2 linked regions of the Oreochromis niloticus genome follow. The protein of the gene in region 1 purifies or fractionates together with the protein of each later gene. This does not show direct contact. Links are inferred from orthologs where the notes say so. Each region holds a gene or a part of one and is shown in the gene's direction. Other genes may lie near its edges.

What was found. The genes of interacting proteins can lie anywhere in the genome.
Region 2: the proteins of poc1a (region 1) and nudc purify together in Homo sapiens (co-immunoprecipitation; 3 studies listed by BioGRID and IntAct, with this or other methods). This does not show direct contact. The link is inferred for Oreochromis niloticus from reciprocal best matches to the Homo sapiens genes POC1A and NUDC.

What each region holds. Positions count from the first base shown.
Region 1 is NC_031970.2:19,650,644-19,658,534, reverse strand, and holds the start of poc1a (POC1 centriolar protein homolog A), read left to right. Parts: upstream 1-4,890; 5' UTR 4,891-5,234; coding exon 5,235-5,249; intron 5,250-5,845; exon of another isoform or gene 5,846-6,021; intron 6,022-6,922; exon of another isoform or gene 6,923-7,075; coding exon of another isoform or gene 7,076-7,603; exon of another isoform or gene 7,604-7,817; intron 7,818-7,891. Other genes in the region: b9d2 (B9 domain-containing protein 2), read right to left, coding at 7,076-7,603.
Region 2 is NC_031985.2:32,990,207-32,998,008, reverse strand, and holds the start of nudc (nuclear migration protein nudC), read left to right. Parts: upstream 1-4,783; 5' UTR 4,784-4,926; coding exon 4,927-5,001; intron 5,002-5,683; coding exon 5,684-5,761; intron 5,762-5,870; coding exon 5,871-6,080; intron 6,081-6,194; coding exon 6,195-6,266; intron 6,267-6,386; coding exon 6,387-6,500; intron 6,501-7,427; coding exon 7,428-7,622; exon of another isoform or gene 7,623-7,670; intron 7,671-7,712; coding exon 7,713-7,796; intron 7,797-7,802. UniProt on the Homo sapiens protein: Plays a role in neurogenesis and neuronal migration. Necessary for correct formation of mitotic spindles and chromosome separation during mitosis. Necessary for cytokinesis and cell proliferation.

The sequences.
Region 1 (7,891 bases):
GCTATCAAATCGTTCACTTTCTACATTCACACTCTTTTTTTTTACTGTGAACCTTCGAACCTGCTCACTTGATATTGAATTGCTTGCTCATAATAAGATTGTAAGACAAGTAATCTAATTGTATGGATGTCACATACAGCTGTTGTCTGTCTGTACAATCCTAAGGCAAGATAGTACTATTAAATCAAGGGTTCTCCTGTCAGATTTCTTTTATACACAGTTTTTGGTAGTTAAATTAAATAAATAGAATAAATAAAATGTATACAAACCAGAATGTTTACACAGTAGTCTTTTTAAAATAAATTGACAAATGTCTAAAGCTGCATCGTACCACATGTGTAAATAAAATTTTTTGGACATTTCCTTATTAAATTAAACAAGCATAGCAGAGACAGCAAGGAAATGTGTCTTTAGTTGATTGTTTCTTTGTTGTAATGACACTTCCTGGCAATAAATCTTATACTATTGGAAAGACAGTTTATCTCCCTTTAAATGGTGCCAGAAAACTTCATTTGTGGGTCGAGCAGCAGACTTGAGCATCTGGGTTGTGGCCATGAAAAACTTGCCAAACAATATATCCTCCTATTGATTCCTGTTTGGTGTAGTTTCTTGGATCGGATTAAAGAAGTCTGAATGAATAAGACATACTGGAAATTTAACTCTTTATTCATTTAACAAACAGGGGTCTCAACGGCATGTTTAGGAACCCTAGACAGTCACAACAGCCTGGCATCTGGTCATGCTGGTCACCAGCTTGGTAACACACACTGCTGTGGGATGGCTTCCCATTCTTCAACCAGCATTTGTAATAAGTCAGCCAGTGTGGTTGTGTTGGTCACAGAAGATTCTCAGAGCTGATATACTAAACTTGCTGCTCTGAAGTCAAATACAAAAACATGGAAACACTGTTTAGATCACTGCACATCAACAGAGGTTTGCCGCTGACAGCACTCATGGTACAGGCATAACTGCAGTGTAACAGCCTATGATAAGACGGAGAGTGCTAGAATGTCCTGTGCTCTGAATAAACCCTGAACACTGTTGGCAGAAACTCCAAAGCATGGCGTAATGACACAATCAGCCTCATTGCCTTTAGGGCAATCAGTTCTCTCAGTGCAAGCAAAGGTAACAAGCAGTCTGCAGCCTTGTATATAATGTACACAGCGCTCAAACTAAAAAAGTCTAAATGATCATTTTTAAAAAGAAAATTTGACCCTCCAACCACCGTTAAATACTTACAGTCTTTATCTTGTCTACTTTATGTCTTGAGAGAATGTTTATTTTTTTTAAATTGCAGTTTCTGTTTTGCATTTCGCTGTCAAACCATGTTGTGACAGACACCAGCGCAATGGTGCAGACCAGTGTAGCAATCGTAAAAAGTTGAGTGGATTTACCAGTCTTCACATTTCCTCATTCACGAGGTTTATCATTGTTTCATTTTGGTATCTAAAAATAAACCAGCCGACTAGTCTTACATTGTTGTGATTGCCCCAAAAGCTGATAAACAAAGACGCAAAATTTGCTCTTCCTGGATGTTATGCTTTTCAGGCTTAAGGCATGCCTTTAAACACCTAAAGACAAAGGATGCTGAGGAATGCTTGGCTGCTGCAAGCAATGCATCATTTGAAAATATTTTATGTGTTTTATAAGAGCCGTCAGACATGCGGCTTTCTTCGGAAAGAAGCCAGTTTCCATAACCCACAGAGCGTCGTAGTGCATTTTACGACACTTTTGACCACATGCTTCACCTGTTGTCACCTATCATCAAAGTGGACGTGACAAATGGCTGTGTGACATATAAATGTGTCTTGTAATGACTGTTACTGGTAGAAAAAAAACACCATCACCATCACATCTCAGTTTCCAGGGAATATGATATGATAATGTCTATGATCATTTTTCTGAATAGAATACAAAGGAAAGAGGAACTTCAATTAAGGAAATAATACATCCTTCTACGCTGTCATATTGTAATATTAGTCACAGTGGTTTTGATGACTTTAACTGCCTTTGAGGTATTTAAAATTATTTCAAATGTTAACACATTCGTTAACATTCATTAATATACAAATTATTGACTCTGTCGACAAGACTGCTACAGACTGAGAGTTCACATTAGCTGAGTTAAGGATATAAGGGTTTCATATTTGCAGGGTACATTAGCTCATGCCCCAGCCTAAAGTTTAACAGCTAATCGAATCAAAAGAGTTTATGCACTGGAAAAATCAACCCATAGTTAAAAAAAATAATAATTTTAAAATAAATAAATCTTTAGAAATAAAATATCTGAATAGCTATCAAATTAGCCAGCGTATCCAGATCAGCTCTGGCACAAAGGTGAACTTGTCATTTTGAAGTCTAAGGCCACGTCTCTCTCAGTTGTGTAACACATAACACACAGTGTGCAAATGTAAAGAGCTGGACCTGTTGAAACTTTGCCTGTGTTAAGCCAGCTGTTGCCCCATGCTACGGTCCCCACAGCTTCCTCTCTCACTGCGCATCAAAAGGCTCTGTGTTTGACAAAAAGGCCCATTCGAAACTCCAAACAGGAGTCGAGAACCCCATGAGATAAAACACACACCATGAAAAACATCCTCCCGCTGCACTGAAAAGGAAACTGTTTCTGTAGACAAAGCTCTGATTATTCATCGCAGCTATATCCTACTACCCTTAAACTGCGCACACATGCGCTGATAAGACATGCTCAGTTTTCAGATAGACGTATGAATATTTACTGCCCTGTAAACGTGCTGCATGATTCTCTGTATCACGCAGGAGCAAGTAAACTGTGCTGAGTTTAAGTGTCTAGCTGCAGTGAGAAGAATTTCAGATTGTTTTTCTGTTTCTCTTCCTTGTTCCTTCTCATCACAGTCATCAGTCACCTACTGGAATCTTAGGATTATACAAGGTGGTGCAATCAGTGCTGTCCCCATATGCAAACAACACTTATTTATAAGCTATTAACAGTGATGAATTACATTGTATGAGAACGCTTTAGCGGAGAATGCATTGTTAAAGTGTAGTGTACAGACAGTAAACCTGTGGGTGTGTCTTTGTTTAGTTTACTGTAACTAAATGTATGAGGGCTGCGGCAAATACAAACTGTTTCCTTTGTTGATTGAATTAAACGCCTTAAAACCGATAGAAACCAGTGCCGGCTTCTATTGTAGGCTGCTGTAGTCATTTTACTTTAATGTCAGTGGTCACTGTAACCTGCTTCGGTGTTCCATCAGGAAGGATATCTGGTGTAAAACTCTGCCAAATTAAATAAGCAGGGAAGATGAAACCATTTTTAAAAAACATGCTCACTGTGTCCTCAAAACTACATATATAGCCATAACATATAAAGATTCTTATATTATTGCTGACATTACCCCAAAATAAGTTGTTTAAAATCTTCCCCCCCCCCTTTCCTGGATTTTCTTGTACTTCTACCACCATCTTTGCTTTTCATTGCTTCACATCTCTCATAGTTTCTCATGTTTTGAGTGCTGCACCTCTCTCTCTTACAGTAACCCTGCTGCAGCTTCACGAGATGCCTTACATTTGAACCATTTAAGCAACTTCTGGAAAGAAGTGTGGCTAGGTAAATCATTTTACTTACAATTTTTAAACAAGTGTCTCTAGAGTGTGCAGCAGATTGCACTGCCTTGCTTTTGTGAGTTTGCTTTAAAGAAAAGGAAAAAAAGAAACATGACATCATACTGTAAAAACAATGTGAAAATAACATAATTATAGCTGGTAATGCTGAATAACTATGTGGTGATATTTGTATTGCATTACTGGTATTTGTGGTATAAATGACTGGCCATGTGACAAACCTTATGGTTGAAAAAGGCCATGGGTGGGGATTTAGTTGAAGAATGAGTTTATGTACACATTGAATAAGTAAGCAGAGAAGAATAACTCTTAAATTAATTATCCTTCAGTTTTAGTTTATGTGTTGGATTTTTACTCCATCAATCCGTTCTAAATATTTGCATCCCTGTGCTTACTGTTATTTGAATGTTTAACTTCCCGGATTACTTCTGCTAAAATGACATCATGATCTGACCTGTTCTCAGGAATGTATCTCTAATCTTTGCTATGGTGACAGGTTTGCTGTACGTCAGTAGCTGTGATTCAGTAGAGTGGGGTTACTCACTGTTATTAGCTGGTTTTGACCATCAAATGTTAGGTGACACAGGCAATGAGTGGCTTACCACGTCTCAATGGCAATTCCCACAGACTCCAGGTCACATTTAAATTCATTAGTTATATCCATAGTCATTATTTCTGTTAAATACTTCCAAGATGATTTTTTCTAAATTTTATGTATGAGTGTTTTCAAAATCTTCACAATGAAAAAAGTGCACACTGAATGTGACAAGTGTTTTTCACAGGAGACATTCTGACGTGCCACAAAACCACAAATGTAGTTACCTAGTGTGTACCTGGGAAACCTGTAAAAGACAGTGCCATTGTCATAGTTATCAGGAACACCAACACCTTTCTTATTGGTCATAATGTGACCTGTTGTGGTTCGGCAGACTCAGTCAAAGGAGCCAAAATACTGTATTTGGGTCTAGTAGAGTGGCTCATGTTTAGCCTGATCAGTACTGAAGTAAAATACAGTTATTTTTCATCAGCCTTCACATATCTTATTCTTTACTGAAAATGTTCCGGGATTATATTTTAAGACTATATTTGCACAAGCAGGCGACAGCAAAACCCACGTCAAAGGCCTTCATGTACTTAGCTGCATAAAGCTGATTTACAACTCTGTCTAGTGTACCTCTGCTGACACCTGGTGGCAACTATGAGTTACTACACCTCAAAAAATCGGCCTGATATTGAATTTACCGGGTAACTTATCCTAACGGAACAGCATCACATGAACAATTTTGTAAAACCTGTGTGGATTTTATTTGGCTATATTTCATATCGTTTAAATACTTTGACGTTAATAGTAAAATGAGAGTTTCGACAGAAACTTTGCTAACGGGATGACTGCCCCTTTAAGAGCGGCGACCAGCTGCTCAGCGCCCAATCGCGGCGCGTAAACTGAACTTTGTTGTTGTCAGCAACTAAGCGCTAACTGTTAGCTAGCGTTAGCCGGCCACCGAGCTAAAGAGGTGATATCTCGCATCCCATTCGTCCTAATACCGGAGGAAAGCACGGTAAAATTTAGCTTGGACGGCTACGACCGTAAACAAGTCGCTTCCATCAGGATTTCGCCTCCGATATCAACAAAAATGACATCTGCGCTGGTGAGTTTAACCTGCTGCTTGAGCCACTGAGATGAAGTTCGTTTCTTATTTGTATTTTCCACAATGTGCCTTCTTGGTTACGAGTTAAAGGCTGATATATCTGTAGATTTATTGCAATACATTATATATATTTTTTATTTGGTATGGTCCCCTTTCTTTTTGCAGCTTGTTTTAGCTTTATTTAGAGCAAGAGCAGATTATAAATCGGGGTAATTTTACTCTTAGTCTTGATTAAATGTCTGTGAAGTCGTTGCAAAGTGACTCATTACTCAGTCTGCTGCGTGTTCAATGTAATATATACATTTATACTAATGTAACAACCAGCCTGTGTAGTCGTGACAGCCACATATGTTATGTAAATGATACACTGAAAGTTTAATGGTATCGTTTTACTCATTTGTCATGATCTAAGTTGCCTTTGCAGATTAAATGTATCATTTTGCAGTCAAAGTGACTAACAAGCAATTAATATGCCAACAATCTGATATTCTGTGTACGGTAATTACAGTATATTGAAGTTATGAGAAAAGACAAAACGATAGAGTCATTTATGCCACTACACTCACTGTCCACTATATTAGGTGCACCTCGCAAGTGCTGGGTTGAGCGGCCTTTTTGCCTTGAGAGCTGCCTTAATTCTTTGTGTGAAGCTGGAAAAATTCCTCTGAGGTTTTGGTCCATATTGACATGATCGCTTCAGGCAGTTGCTGCAGACTTTTCGGCTGCACATCCATGATGAGAATCTCGTGCTCCACCACATCCCAAAGGTGCTCTGTTGGATTAAGATCTGAGTAAGTGAACATGGTGCATAAAACCCCTGAAAGCAGCCTTCAGAAGATGGGTACACTGTGGCCATGCTGAATGTGATCAGCAACAACCTCAAGTAGGCTGAGGTGTTTAAATGATGCTCAATTGTTAATAAGGGGCCCAAAGCGTGGCATGAAAATATCCCACACAACTTTTAACTTGTAACAGTGTTACATGTTGTGTAGCCTATGTGCTTCAAGGCTCAACAAGTTGTGCATTCAGAGATGCTTGTAACCAGTGACAAACAAACAAGAAAACAAGCTTATTTTAAGTTTGCATAAACTAAACCTCATTTTGAAGAAAGGATGGTCAAAGCCTCTCTTTGATGAACTCCAAGAGTAACTCATAAGACACTATGACAATAGATATTCTGTGCAATACAGTCATGCACCATACACCACAGTATCTGGTAACTGAAGGAAAAAAAATATACTCTTTAAAAGTCTCTCCAGTTCTTTCCTTGTGAGGTTGTTGTTGTTAATATGAAGTAAGATAACTCATTTTATAATTTTCTTAAAAAGTAGTGACTGGTGCCAGACTAGCAGGGAACTCCTACATCTTTTGATAAACAATATTTGCTGCCAGTGAATGGCTCACACTTGGAACCAAAATGATACATTTCAGTATAGTATTTGCCCCTACTCCTAATCTGTAGCAGGCTATTAATGACTTAATCCAAGTAACAATCCTGTTAGTCGTACAACTTAAAATCCAAAATAAAAAGTAAATGTGGCTTTACATAATATAATATAACAATGCATTTAAGAAAGCAGCATTAAATGAGGCGTGGTTGCACGGAATATCGCTAATAAGAGCCAGTTTTATATTATTTTTATATTAAAAATACAAATCAGCAAGAAACCAACTTCAGTAAGAGAATATTTTCTTTATTTACATATAGTTTGTAAAAAATAGTGTAGTTAAGAAAAAAAAAATAGTACAGAATTCTACTAAAAGCAAGTGACTCAAATATGATCTATAAAAGTTTCTATTTTCTGTCTTTCTGCCATTTCAAAATCTCAACACTCGACACCATATTTGTCAAAGTGTCTCGTGATGATGCCCAGCTCCAGCTCCACAGTCCCCATGGCTTCGGTGTGCAGTCTGTATCTGTCCGCCCCGCTGTAGATCAGGTCAGGGCTGAGGAGCTGGGGACCTCCGCCGACGAACATTTGCGCCAGCCGTTCTTGCCAGGAGCCCACAGGCCTCCAGGTCGCACAGCTTATTCGGTGATGTCCCGGACTAGAAGGGACGTGGCAGAAACCATAACCATAGAGTTGGCACCGTCCGAAAGAATCCTGATGCCACACCTCTAGGTGAATCTTCGGCCAGCCTTGCAGCCCTTTGGTCGCGTAGTGCAGATCGATCGGGTGGCTCCAGTACGCTATGTCTCCGATTTGGGGGCTATCCACCTGGGTCTGACCCTCCTTCAGCCCGGATAAAAGCCGCCATGCTTCTCCCGTATGAATTCCCCATTTGCAAAACAAAGTCTTTTCCGGGAAACCACTTGCACCAATGATCTGCCCTATAATGTGCAGCTCTGCCATGTCACACTGGTTCTCTTTAACCAGAAAATGTGGCACGGAAAGTCCTGTTTTGTCTCTCCGATGTTAACGGCTAGCTTAGCGGCTAGCTAAACTAACGGCTAAACGTCTCCTTGGTAACCGCCTACCGTGATTTGCTATATAGCCATATACCCCCTGAGTTCGGCCTCGCAGGCACCACTTCCGGTACGAATCCCGTCCAACATTATGAAGACCCAAAGCTTCACCTTTATAAAGTTGTTTGTCATTAATGAATAATTAATTTTCACTAATTATAATATTGGCAATATT
Region 2 (7,802 bases), on another chromosome or scaffold:
TGATTCATAAATGTTATGTTTGTGTTTGAAGGATTGCTTAATGGGGAGCTTGCCCTGCAGGCAGACGTCATCAGCAGCTCTTAGGTGTTGTATCATACATGTTGTATAACCGTCCCCTCGTCCTTGAAGGAGTTAGGATCCTAAGAGCTCGCTCTCATTTTACTCTTAGATTTAAAGTTTGTCGTTGGTGTTTCTGTTGTTTTGCACATTTCACATGCCTTCATTATCATTGATTTGATTTGATGAGTATATTTTTGCTTTCAGTTTTGTGGTTATGTCGCAAATATATAGTTAATGAGTCTACATAATGTTCTGATAGTTTCCAGAATTTGAATAATTTCAGATTGGCTAAGGGAAGCACCTGGATGGTGTCACTGCATACTTTCTGTGTAGAGGAAAAGTAGAGTTTTCATTGTAACTGTATTGTGTTTCGTTAAGTCCAATTGGAAATACAAGTTGAAGGCTGCAAAAAAAAAAAGCCTTCACCTGTCTTTTTTTTAATATTTCATATCATTAGTTAATATTCAGACAACATGGAATGTGTTTTTTGTTTTGTTTTTTTCAGATCAGTTTATTATTTGTTTCAAAACATGAAGTTTATACCAAGCTGATAACTCAGAAGCTCATATCTTAACTGTGTGTTGGATACATTTTGATTGTGACTGTTTTACCGTTTGCTTTCAATTATCAAATATTATATGAGCCAGCGTGATCTGCAGCTACACTTTAGGTTGTATCGTGTGCCGTAACTTATTAGCGATGTTTATCCCAAGCTGACTCATGAAGTGAAGGTGTGTTTTCATGACAACAAATGTAATGGCTGTATTTACCCCCGGGTCCTGACGGGGATTTTCCCAGCTGAGTCACTGAGTCCATTTTTTTTTTTTTCCCTTTAGCATTATCAGTTTATGGTTACAGTTGTTAAGGAACATAACTGTAGTAATTTAATACAAATGGTAAACTAGTTCACGTATTCCACACAATGTGTCACCCACGATCTGTTTTACTTGCATGTGTAAAGAATAACAATTTTTTGTAGTCTTTCTGTAAAATCTACCAGAATACTTGAGGTTTTTGTAGAGCCCAACCCCAGCATGGTTAGAATGGAATGACGGGAAACTTGTTCTGGTTTGGACCATGAAGGCCAAAATTTAGAAGAAGTAATGAATTGCTGACTATATCTATCGAACTATACTTCTTACTTTACTGAAAGGGTTGAATTGTCTGGTGAAGCCTTTTGCATTTTGTTGCTAATGACACATTATAGCTGTAGCAGATCGAATGTTTGGGTGTTTCTCTTTGTTTTGTTTTTTTGTTTTTCAGCAGAAATATGTTGTATCAGGAACTAATTTCTGATATCAGATGTGTCTTTTTTAATAAACCAATAAAGATTATGAAGTGGAACAAAAACAGGATGTTTTGTTTGTCACATAGAGTATGATGGCCACATGAGGGAGTCAGAGCGTGCATTATTTTTGACAGTCTTTTCTCTCTTTCTTTCTCTGCTGGAGTTCCTGCATAATCCTAGCTAAGAATAAGATCATGTGTTTTCAGATTTGTTGTTTATTTATTTAAGTATAATATTGACATAAGCAGCCATTGGGGGGGGGTTGTGATTTTCCTGACACTTGTATGAACACTACATTAAGTCTTTGTGGACAAAAAGCATCTCTCTTAATAAATGTAACATTTTTGTATTGCTTACAAGGTTAGCTTATTAAAAAAATGTTGTACTCACAAATATACAATGATTAGTGTATAATTATGTCTTCAAACAAATTGTTCACAGCCATCTTAAAAACAGTGGAGGAGATGGACTTTGCATTTCCATTTAATTGCGTTTTATGTAACTAGACACCGGCCACATAAGTACTATGCCATAAGTTACTTTTCATTTAAAGATCACAAATAACCCTTTAAAACTCTGTATTACCCTTTAACAAAGAGATATTTTCATCATCTCTTTCTCTTTAGGTCTTTCTCCCTCTCCACCACTGCTCTCTTGCACTTAAATTGCGAAGGATAAGAAGTTATAATTCAGTTCACTGCAATCTGCAACCTACTGATATCTAGCAGTGGTATTTTACACACTGTATCTTTAAGCCCTAAGCTCATGCACAGATGTTCACTAATCATATCAAACAAATCCAAAAGGGAGCGACATAAAACAGATCCGACAGATATCAGACACAAGAAAATCAAAGTAGAGACAAACTAAAAATAATGAAATTTCATACAAGAAATTGACAGGAAAACAGCTAACTTACGAAAGGAATGATGTAAGCACAGCTAGGGGAAGGTGAGTACACAGGTAATTGCTCAGGTACTGAAAAGACAGAAAACAAAACAAATAGTGTCTAATAGGATATGTTTGTGCATTTAACATTTAACGTTGAATTTGACATCTGACTATGCTAAAAGCTATGATTAACGGGAATGAGCACTCTGCTATGTTTCGCATCTAATGTGTTGTGGTCGTACTCCCCATCCTTTCCAGCTCTATCACATTTCCCCCTCTGTTGTCGTCAAATAATGGATTGCTCTTGAGACCACAGTCACCTAGCAATATGAAGCAAACAACTGGGGATCAACCTCATTAGCTGTCAAGTATGTCTGGACTTATGTCTCCATTAAGGCGAAATTATCGCTGCCGAGACACCGTTATGTAGTCTATGCACCGCATTTTAGTTACCTACTATACTTTGAAGATGAGGTGTGCTGTATGGTGCTTACCTACAGAAAAAAGAAAACCTATGGAAAACACTGAAACAAGACAAAATTACAGTATGCACTGTCTGCTATGTGCTATGTTCTCCTATATGTATTGAAAAGCTACTGAATATACAAGAGGGAAATTAATAAAATTATTCAACCAATAATCACATGAGCCTTTGAGACAACACAGTCTTATATTATATTATATTATATTATATTATATTGTCCTATCTTAGCACTGCTGATGCTGTTTTTGCTATGCCAGCCTTTGCTGTAAACTTTTAAAGTGGTCTTGAGCAATAGTTCTAGTTTTTCATTGTTTCATTCAGTGGGTTTTTTTGTTTTGTTGTTTGTTTGTTTTGTTTTTGTTAAGTTACTTAAGGCTAACCTATGAATCATTTAAGCATAGAAAAAAGCATTTAAGAGATGAACCACTATTGGGAACCACTGTTGTGTCTACACTAGTGCTGTCAGCGTTAATCTCGTTAAAATGATGTTAACGCCATAACCGCATTAATGTGGCAAATCTCCGTTTGTGAGTTAACGCGGATCGGCCCATGCGTGGGGCTGCATGGCGTCAACACGTTAGTGAGCTAACCGCGCTAACACGTTGACGTCGTGTGGAAGGAGTTGAGTGAGGCCATGGAAAAAGACTTTCAGTCTGTAGAGAAGTGATTCTGACAAACCATCTGGTGATTCAGGAGGGGAAATTAGTGCTCTGCTCACATGTGAATAATGCAAGTGGAGTGGTGCTGACTTCAACTGATATAGGCAAGCAGTGGAAGAAATACTTTAAGGACCTCCTTAATCCCATTTACACATTTTCTGTAGAGGAAGTAAAGTCGAGTGGGATGATTGATCCATCACTGGGGGCAAGTTCACTGAGGTAGTTCAACAGCTCCTTGGTAGCAGGGTCTGTGGGGTGGATGAGTTCTTTAAAACCTTGGCTGTTGTAGGGCTGTCTTGGTTGACACGCCTCTGGAATGTTGTGTGGAGATCTGGGGTGGTGCGTCTGAACTGGCAGACTAGGGTGGTGATTCCTATCTTTAGGAAGAAGGACCAGAGGGTGTGCTCCAACTACATGAGGATCATACTCCTCAGCCTCAGTGAGAAGAACTATGCCAGGCTACTGGAAAGGAGAGTTCATCTACTAGTCGAACCTCGGATTCAGGATGGACAACAGTTTGAGGCCATTGTCCTCAGCTGGAAAAGGGTGGAGTGCCCACTCCAGGTCAGGGAAAAGATTCTGCCCCAAGTGGAGGAATTTAAGTATATCAGGATCTTGTTCATGAGTAAGATGGGTAGTGCAGGTGCAGTGATGTAAACTGTCTGTTGTGATGAAGCGAGAGCTAAGTGTAAAGGCAAAGCTGTTGATTAACAGGGGATCTACATCCCTACTCTTACCTAAGATTACAAGCTTTGGGTAGTGACTGAAACAATGAGATCGCAGATACAAGTGACACCAGTAAGCTTTCTCAAAAAGTTGTCTGACCTCTTCCTTAGAGATAGGATAAGGAGTTTGGTTATTCAAGCAGGTTTCACAGTAGAGCTGCTACTCCAATGTGCCTAGAGTGCCTCCGAGGTGTTACAGGCATGCATATCCTACCAGGAGCAGGCCCCAGGTAGACCCAAGACGCACTAGAGAGATTATTTTTTTCAGCTCGCCTGGAAATGCCCCTGGATAAGGTGGAGTTTAACTAAGGTTGGAAATTTGACTTTTTATATTTTCATCTTACTTTTTATGGCATATTTTATACTTGTTTATGTCTGTGATTGTGTTTAAAAAAAAGAAGAACAAGTAGCTGCTTAAACCTCCATTTTCCAGCAAATTGCACCTATTATTTCTACCTATCCGCGATAACATGGCAGCAGGCTAGATTTTATTATTATTTTATTCCAATATGTTAAACGATTAGCATTCAACTGAATAAATTTAAAGTTTCAATCATAGATCCGTTCTCTTCTCTAGAATATTCTTACTCTTCAAATAAGCCCGAGTCCCGCCCTAAAACAGCGCCTTCCATTTATTGGGTGCCTTAGCTATCAATAATAGTGTGTTGCTCCAATTGGTCGAAACTAGAGCAAGAAGGGGGTTGTTTCCAGGAAGTGTTCAGCGTGACTCTCACAGAACAGCTTTGCTTTCTTTCTAACAGAACCTGCTTTGCTTGATTTTTGCGCCGGTGTTCCGATTCCGTTTCTCAGTCAGTCAGCATGGGTGAAGATGAAGAAAAATATGACGGCATGTTGCTTGTTATGGCGCAGCAACACGAAGGAGGGGTACAAGAGGTAAAGCAGTGCATCGCCGTGCTAACATGCTAAAGCTACTGTACTAACGCTAACGTGGTTAGCCTGTAAGCTAGTATGTACACCGTGCCTATGAGCAGTCACAAACACGCACAAAAAAATGAATGTTTTTAACTGTTTTGCAAAGTTTAGAAAATGATTTTGTTATTAATAACCATGGCTTTCGTGGACTAGCTTAGCTGCAAGCTGCGGAGTGTTCTGGTGAATTTGGCATACATGTGACTAAGAAGGCAGCACAACTTAGCAAAAAATGAACTTAGTTCTGTTTGAGCATGTCTATTAGATGGTCCATGTTCCTGATAGAAACTGTTAAAAGTAATGTTAGTTCTACAAGTAAGTTTTGTACTGTAGTAATGTGACGCTGTGCCCTGGACGGGTGAAGGTTCTGGAAGAAAATATATTTGCTAAAAAGAGACCTGCTGTTATGAGGAAAAGGTGAAAGATGTGATCTGGAAACTGATGAAGCGAAATGAATGTTTGGTTACAATGATGTTTTTTACGAGTGGTGATCACAGAGACACCCAGCACAGAAAAGGAAGGCTCTCCAATCCAAGCAGTAATTTATTTCAGTCCAGTCTCGTCAACACAGTCATAAGTCCATAATAAAGCTGTAATCTGTTATATGGATTTTGTAACTTATTCTTGACCTATTTTCTATCAACAGTTAGTAAACACATTTTTCAGCTTCCTCCGCCGCAAAACTGATTTCTTCACTGGTGGTGATTCAGGTGCAGCAGAGAAGGTGAGCATTGCTGTTCCATTTATACCTCGTGTCACATTCAAGATTTCAGTGATAAACACAGAACTCCACCCATCCCTCAGTTTTAATTGAAATCCCCTATGTTCTTCAGCTCGTCAAGGATGCCTTTGCTCACCACAGCAAGTTGGCGCTGAAGGCCCAGAAAGAGAAGCAGATGAAACAAGAGAAAGAAAAAAGAGAAAAAGCTGAAAGAGCGGCCAAGCTTGCAGAGGAGGAGAAGAAAAAGAAGAATGACGACGGTCCAAGAATCCAGGAGCTGACAGACGAGGAAGCAGAGAAGCTTCAGACTGAACTTGATAAGGTGAAATACGGATTTTCTCATTTTCTGTCACCAGTGTGTCTCTGAAATGGTTAAATTAAACTCTGAACTGTTATGTCTGTTACTTAACTTTATGTCTGGCTTTTTTTATGCTAGAAAAAGAAGGAAGAGGAGAATACAGCGGCGGCAGCAGAGATGTCATCTGACAAAGCTGAGAAAGAGAAAGGCGTGAGTGAGGAGTTTGACATGTACCTTATTACTTAGTGTTGACTAAGCAGTAAAATGAAGTGCACTTAATGTTTTTTTTTTTAATTAACGCTTATTCATGTTCATTTTCTTTTCCTTCAGTCGGACTCTGAAGGAGAGGAGGATGAGAAAGACAAAGATAAACTGAAGCCTAATTCGGGAAATGGAGCTGACCTGCCCAACTACAAGTGGACACAGACCCTGTCTGAAGTTGATGTGAGTTTTTTCTGGTTTCAGCATCATGCTGGACTTTACCTCTTCTCAGCTTGTGTTTACTGAACATCTGAATGGTTCTTTGAGCATCTCTTACCCCTCAGCTTCTCACCATACGTACAGCTCCATCATAATGTTGTTATTACAGCTCAGTAATGTCACCTTTGCCTGAGTTTGCCAGATGGATAGCACAATATTAAAACCATCTTAATGTTTCCTGTGCATTGCCCTGTGCCTCTTTCTTTCAAGTGATGTGTTTCCTTAAACAGCATGTGCCAGAACACATTTGTATTTGTTTTCCATTGGACTCTGCAGAAGGGAAAAATGACACTGCTCTTTTTATGTGAATTCTACATTATTATTCCTTCCAGTTTTATTCAGATATGCCAAGACTGTTGTGGAAAGAGTCAGAATGCATACAGAATACTGGATAAATAAAAGGTGCTGGAAGTTGTCTTAAATGTCTTTTAACATCTGCCATTACATTTGAGTACCACCTAATGTGTTTGGGGTTGTTATAGCAACATGCAAGAAAGTTCCGTGACATCATTTGTACGCGACACAAGCGCAAAAATGGAGGGTGTCGACCTAATCTTATACCTCCTGCTCGGTGCATGACTCAGAGACCACAGTGTTGTTTCTTGTGTGGCCATATTCCTCGTTGCCAGGTTTCAAGGGCAGTTTTAATTTTCGTAAGGCGACACTGTCGTAAGTGATTGGCTAGTCAGTGGTACCACACAATCAGTGGCATGCAGTCTGTTGGAATCACATTATCAGATCTACCGAGATCACCGAGAGCAGTGGAATTTCTTTTCTTTTTTTTCTGTGCAGACGAGAGTTTTATAAGCTTATAAGAACACATGTGCGCCTCTACTTGCGATTTAGTGCACATGTGTAATTAAAATATTAATGATTAAACTCCTCCCACAGGTGGCAGTGCCCTTTAGTGTGAACTTTCGCATTAAGGGCAAAGATGTAGTTGTGGACATCCAGCGGCGCTCCATCAAAGTGGGCCTGAAAGGACATCCTCCAGTTATTGATGGCCAACTCTACAACGAGGTGAAGGTAGAGGAGAGCTCCTGGCTCATCGATGATGGCAAGGTGGTTACTGTCCACTTGGAAAAGGTAAGAAGACGTGTAGATGTGTGGCACACTGTGGAATTATTCAGTCAACTGGAGAGAGAGAGAGTGTGTCAAATCGTATTTTGATTTCAGATTAACAAAATGGAGTGGTGGAGCAAGATCGTCACTACAGATCCTGAAATTAACACCAAGAAAGTCTGTCCCGAGAACTCAAAGGTAAAT